2 linked regions of the Callithrix jacchus genome follow. The main gene of each other region encodes a partner of the protein of the gene in region 2 in a complex. Links are inferred from orthologs where the notes say so. Each region holds a gene or a part of one and is shown on either strand. Other genes may lie near its edges. The genes, in order: MCFD2 and LMAN1.

Region 1 (2,772 bases), on a different chromosome or scaffold from region 2:
TTGAAGGGCTTTACCCAAAATGCTGATAGCAATATGGACAATAAAGTCCAGGCCAAGGTGGTCTCAGATGAAGATGAGGAACTTGTTGGGAAGTGGAGTAAAGGTGATTCTTACGTTTTAGCAGAGACCAGAAGCATTTTGCCCCTTCCACAGAGATCTGTGGAACTCTGAACTTGAGAGAGATGATTTAGGATATCTGGCAGAAGTAATCTCTAAGCAGCAAATCATTCAATAGGTGACTTGGGTGCTGTTAAAGGCATTCAGTTGTTTTTGTTTTTGTTTTTTGAGACAGAGTTTCACTCTTGTAACCCAGGCTGGAGTGCAATGGCGCGATCTCGGCTCATAAGAACCTCCGCCTCCCGGGTTCAGGCAATTCTCCTGCCCCAGCCTCCTGCGTAGCTGGGATTACAGGCACGCGCCACCATGCCCAGCTAATTTTTTGTATTTTTAGTAGAGACGGGGTTTCACCATGTTGACCAGGATGGTCTCGATCTCTTGACCTCGTGATTCACCCGCCTCGGCCTCCCAAAGTGCTGGGGTTACACGCTTGAGCCACAGTGCCCAGACCCAGGCATTCAGTTTTATAAGGGAAGCAGAGCATAAAAGTTTGGAAATTTGCAACCTGACTCTGCAATAGAAAAGAGAAACCCATTTTCTGTGGAGAAATTCAAGGTGGCTGCAGAAATCTGTGTAAGTAGCAAGGAGTCTAATGTTAATCCCCAAGACCATGGGGAAAATATCTCCAGTCCATGTCACAGACCTTTAGGGCAGCCCCTCCCATCACAGGTCCAGAGGCCTAGGAGCAAAAAGTGGTTTCATGGTCTGGGACCAGGGTCCCCAGGCTGTGTGCAGCCTAAGGACTTGGTGCCCTGTGTCCCAGCCACTCCAGCCATGGCTGAAAGGGGCCAACATACAGCTTGGGCTGTGGCTTCAGAGAGTAGAAGCCCTAAGCCTTGGCAGCTTCCACGTGGTGTTAAGCCCGTGGGTGCACAGAAGTCAAGAACTGAGATTTAGAAACCTCTGACTAGATTTCAGAAGATATATGACAACGCCTGGATGCCCAGGCAAAAGTTTGCTGCAGTGGCGGGTCCCTCATGGAGAGCCTCTGCTAGGGCAGTGCAGAAGGGAAATGTGGTATTGGAGCCCCCACATAGAATTCCTACTGGGGCACTGCCTAGTGGAGCTATGAGAAGAGGGTCACCATCCTCCAGACCCCAGAATGGTATATCCACCAACAGCTTGCACCGTGTATCTGGAAAAGCTGCAGACACTCAACACCAGCCATGAAAGCAGCCAGGAGGGAGGCTGTACCCTGCAAAACCACAGGGGTAGAGCTGCCCAAGACCATGGAAACCCACCTCTTGCATCATCAGCATGACCTGGATGTGAGACCTGGAGTCAAAGATTATTTTGGAACTTTAAAATTTGACTGCTCTACTGGATTTTGGACTTGCATGGGCCCTGTAACCCCTTTATTTTGGCCAATTTCTCTCATTTGGAATAGGTGTCTTTACTCAATATCTGTACCCTACTGTATCTAGGAAGTAACTAGCTTGCTTTTGATTTTACAGGCTCATAGGCAGAAGGGACTTGCCTTGTCTCAGATGAGACTTTGGACTGTGGACTTTTGGATTAATGCTGAAAAGAGTTAAGACTTTGGGGGACTGTTAGGAAGGCATGATTGGTTTTGAAATTTGAGGACCTGAGATTTGGAGGGGCCAGGGGCACAATGATATGGTTTGGCTGTGTCCCCACCCAAATCTCAACTTGAATTGTATCTCCCAAAATTTCCATGTGTTGTGGGAGGGACCCAGATTGAGGTAACTGAATTATGGGGGCAGGTCTCTCCTATGCTATTCTCGTGATAGTGAATAAGTTTCATGAGATCTGATGGGTTTATCAGGGGTTTCTGCTTTTGCTTCTTCCTCATTTTCTCTTGCTGCCACCATGTAAGAAATGCCTTCTGCCTCCCACCATGATTCTGAAGTCTCCCCAGCCATGTGGAATTGTAAGTCCAAGTAAACCTCTTTTTCTTCCCAGTCTTGGGTATGTCTTTATCAGCAGCATGAAAACACACTAATACAGATGCTTTAAGCAAGCCCTTGTCCAATAAGGTATTTAATAGCACTTAGGGACTATCAGATGTCCCATTTCTCTTCTCTTTCATTTCTCTTGATCTCTTCTTGCCCCAGTGTAAAAAACTGCTACAGGTTTTTAGCAAAATGCTGCAGCGGTAGTTGGAAATGAGTTATTTTGCATTACTAAAGTGTTCAATCACATTATCACAGGTCACATTTGCATATAACCAGGAGATGGCCAAATAACCTCTATTGCAGTGATTTTGCAAATTCAGCATAGTCAATGTATCCATCATTGTTCTTGTCATCATCTCTCAAAACACCATCTATTATGTTAATCAGTTCATCTTCACTCATTAGTGGTGCCTGTTCACTCCCTTCCTACAAAATACAAATTAGACAATGATGAGTTGCACATTTTACTGGAAGAAGTGCTTAGCTAATGTGCAAAATATCCATGCTCTTTCATGGGCAATGTTTATTAAAAACAAAACAAAACAAAACCAACAAAATGTCCATGCTTATATGTGTCTAAAAACTTTCAATGGAGTATGGGGCTACTTCTAGGAATCCATCTATATATTCTCTCTACATATATACAGAAAATATACATTTTATCTCTATAGTCTATATATATTCTCTCTATATATATTCTACTCTGTATATATTCTATAGAGAGACAGAATATATATTA
Region 2 (3,829 bases):
ATTTTTCAAAAGAAGACACACGAGCGGCCAACAAATATATGAAAAAAATGCTCAATGTCGCTAATCATCAAAAAAATCCAAATTAAAACCACAATGAGATATTATCTCATTGTGATATTACACAAGTCACAATGGCTATTACTAAAAAGTCAAAAGACAACAGATGTTGTCAAGCATGTGGAGAAAAGGGAATGCTTATATGCTGTTGGTGGGAATGTAAATGAGTACAGCCTTCGTGAAAAACAGTGTGGAGAATTCTGTTCTCCAAGAATTAAAGAACTAAAAACAGAATTAACCATTTGATCCAGAATCGCACTACTGGGTATTTACCTAAAGGGAAAGAAATCATTATAACAAAAAGATACCTGCATTCACATGTTTATGGCAGCACTATTTACAATAGTAAAGATATGGAATCAACCTAAGTGTCCATCAACAGAGGACCTGATAAAGTAAATGGGGCATGTGTGTGCATATATGTGTGTATATACTATAGATTACTATTCAGCCATAAAATAAAAATGAAATCATGTCTTTTGCAGCAAGATGGGTGGAACTGGAGGCCATTATCCCAAGTGAAATGACTTAGTCAAATACCATACATTCTCTCTTATAAGTGAAAGTTAAACCATAGGTACACATGGACATATGGAGTAGAGTAACGGACTCTGGAGACTACCAAAGTGGGAGGGGAATGAAGGCTGAAAATTACCCATTGAGTACCATGTTCATTAGGGTGAGCGGTACACTAAAACCCCACACTTCACCACTATGTGACATAAGCATATAAGAAATCGGCACTTGTACTCCCTAAATATATAAAAAGTTAAATAAAACTAAAATGGAGGGGATGGAGGCAGCAAACCACCTTGCTATGTATGTACCTGTGCAACAATCCTGCATGACCTGCACATGTACCCCAGAACCTAAAGTACAATTAAAAAAAAAAAACAAAAACCTAAAATGGAAAAGTATATCTCTTTCATATACACTATGTGATTCTACTTATATGAATAGGCAGAACTAATCTACAGTGATAGCAATAAAAAGTGATGGGCTCTGTGGAGAAGGCGGTTGACTTGAAGGAGGCAAGAGGGAACTTTCTGGGATGATAAAAATGTTCTGTGTAATGATCTGGGTGATGGTTAAACGGGTAAACGTATTTGTCAAAATTTACCAAACTATACTTTCAAACACTACAGTCAACTTCAGGATATACTCACAAATTTTATGTGATGATGTTTAAAGCAAATTCAAAATAAGAATGACTTTTATGTTTCATTTTTAAATTCATTAAATCTGATTCATACTAATCATCATTAAGAGAAGTGCATACTACATGGCGTGTTCAAATGCTAGCCTCAGCCTTTATTAAGTATACCTTTGATCACTTAGGCTGACGGGGAACAACTCAGATAAAAAGTTGGCAGATAATATGAAGTCCCTCAATTTGGCCTTAAAATGTTTTATTTTTGACATCAGCACACTCAACTTCTTAATTACATTGGCTTAGACTAGTATTTTATAATTTTCAACTATACAGTCCAGGATTCTATTGAGTAGTATGGGGAGAAGCAGATATCATATTACTTCCACAGCAGTTTTGATAGTTTTTAAGGATTATTTCCACACTATAAGGTAACTATGTGCCACTAAAAGCAAAAACATAAACTTTTGATGATTTCATTCAAAAACATTTACTGAGCCTGAACTACTAGGTTAGCAATTGTTTTGGATTTCTTTTTAGGCTTAGCGGACACTGCAGTGAATATAGCAAACAAAATCCCTTTCATTCCGGCAGTTCCATTCCTCCACATAACCATGGTACTCTATTTCACAAATGACTAAGCCACATTCTCACTGGTAAAAATACCAATCTCCCAACTCTTAAAGACTAAAGATTTACTCATAAATTGTTTCCAGGAATCACTTGGAATGTGCCAGTTCAAAGAACAGGGATGAGTCAGTAACACACAAACTCAGGCATTCATGATCATCAGCCCCAACACCGGCTGCAGCACCCACGTATGCTTCGCTACAACTCACCAGGCTGCCATTGGAGGTCAGGGTGGACCTTCTGGAATTCCTCTTTTTTTTTATCCAATTCTTGTTGAAAGTGCTCAAATTCCTCTTGATACTTTTCTTTTTCTTTTTCTGAAATTTCTTTATCTGGTGTAGGCTGATTTTTTTTGGAGTTTCGGAATAGATCATAAAAAGGATAAGAAAATCATTAAGATACCTCAATATGTGCTATTTTTTTCATTTTAACTATTTGACCACTAGCTGAAAGGTTAACATAAACATATTATTCCTTCTTTACTTTAATGATAACAAATTTACTTTTTTTTTTTTTTGAGATAGACTCTCACTGTCGCCCAAGCTGAAGTGCAGTGTCTCGATCTCGGCTCACTGCAGCCTCTCCCTCCCAGGTTCAAGCAATTCTCCTGCCTCAGCCTCCTGAGTAGCTGGGACTACAGGTGTGCACTATCAGGCCTGGCTAATTTTTGTATTTTTAGTAGAGACGGGATTTCATCGTGTTGGCCAGGCTGGTCTCAAACTCCTGACCTCAGGTGATCCGCCCACCTTGGCCTCCCAAAGTGCTGGGATTACAGGTGTGAGCCACCACACCTAGCCTACTCTTGCCTCTAATAATTAACCGCTACCATTTACTGAGCCCCTGCTGTAAGTGCACTGTCTTAATCCTTCAAAATCATGAGGTGGCCAATACAAACATCTCTGTTTTACCAACTAAGAAACGAAGCGTTACAGAGGTTCAGTGACTTACACAAGACCATATAGCAGTAACTGGCAGAAACAAGTTCCAAACCTGTTAGTCTTCCCAAACATTCAGCTAAAAGGCAAAAACACTAAACTGAGAAACTTTTTGGAAAAAATGTGTAAAATTACCGGCTCTTTTCCAGGTTCAGTCAACTGGAAAGTCAGAAAGGAAAGTACATCATGGTCATCTACAAATTAAAAAAAAAAAAGTCTAAAAAAGTTCCACAGGAGATTACTTTTATCACTGTAAATGAACTTTATCAGTATTTATTGCTTTAAATATCAATAATCAGTGAGGAAATTAACAAAAATTAACTCTAATTTGGTAAAGGCAATGGAACTTTGTGAGCTAAGAGACAAAAATTCACGTGATTTGTATTAGAAATAATCTAAATGTTACTTTCTTAAACCCTAAATCAGAACATTTAGTAGTGTTTAACATGTAATAGATGTTTAATAAACGTCTGATAAGAAATCAACAAACAAATGAAGGGTCAAAAGAAGTCCAGACTCCTTATTCTGGTACCAAGATCCTCTATGATTTCCCATAAATCCCCTTCATGGACAATGTACCAGACAAATGAGACAAAATCCTGGTCTCTAAATAATTCCGGTACCTTTATGTCTTTGAATCTTTCTTATAGTACCTAATGCCTTCTGTCTTACTTTCTTATTTGTTTCTCTTACATGGAGGATATTAATAATTTTATCTTACCTAAAATCATATTCAAAAATCAAATTTAAGTTGTGCAAGCCAAAAGCACCGGCTCAGCAGATCAAACTTCCTAACCCTTAACTAAAATACTAATCCTGGATAGTCACATTCACAAATCAAGAGCAATTAATTTCAAGTATATAGCAATCTTTATGCTTTGTACTATTTGCATACAGATCTAGAGATGTAGTCAGATTAAAAAGAAAAATATAATACTGCAGTATAGATTAAGGAACTTAAGAAATTATGTTGTGTAATAGGGTACTGAACCTGGAGTCAGAAATCCGTATCAAGTCCTGCCTGGGGCTGACCATTAATTGGCCATACAATTTCCAG

The links.
Region 1: the proteins of LMAN1 (region 2) and MCFD2 are in contact, whole or in part, in a cryo-EM structure (PDB 8JP5), measured with the Homo sapiens proteins. The link is inferred for Callithrix jacchus from reciprocal best matches to the Homo sapiens genes LMAN1 and MCFD2. Residues at the interface, in NP_005561.1 of Homo sapiens: His43, Arg44, Arg45, Phe46, Tyr48, Lys49, Ser51, Phe52, Lys53, Pro55, His56, Gln59, Ser60, Asp61, Val64, Pro65, Phe66, Trp67, Lys96, Phe265, Glu273, Lys279, Glu280, Ile281, Glu285, Lys286, Tyr289, Glu292, Phe293, Phe296; in NP_001164977.1 of Homo sapiens: Val59, Ile60, Asn61, Lys62, Gln70, Glu71, Leu74, His75, Phe77, Lys78, Tyr82, Asp83, Asn86, Asp89, Gly90, Leu91, Glu92, Thr95, Thr98, His99, Val100, Leu111, Glu114, Leu117, Ile118, Ile121, Asp122, Leu125, Asp129, Lys130.

Annotation. Positions count from the first base shown.
Region 1 is NC_133515.1:67,837,551-67,840,322, reverse strand, and holds part of MCFD2 (multiple coagulation factor deficiency protein 2), read right to left. Parts: intron 2,460-2,772; coding exon 2,328-2,459; 3' UTR 1-2,327. UniProt on the Homo sapiens protein: The MCFD2-LMAN1 complex forms a specific cargo receptor for the ER-to-Golgi transport of selected proteins. Plays a role in the secretion of coagulation factors.
Region 2 is NC_133514.1:102,360,496-102,364,324, forward strand, and holds part of LMAN1 (protein ERGIC-53), read right to left. Parts: intron 2,967-3,829; coding exon 2,908-2,966; intron 2,180-2,907; coding exon 2,047-2,179; intron 1-2,046. UniProt on the Homo sapiens protein: Mannose-specific lectin. May recognize sugar residues of glycoproteins, glycolipids, or glycosylphosphatidyl inositol anchors and may be involved in the sorting or recycling of proteins, lipids, or both.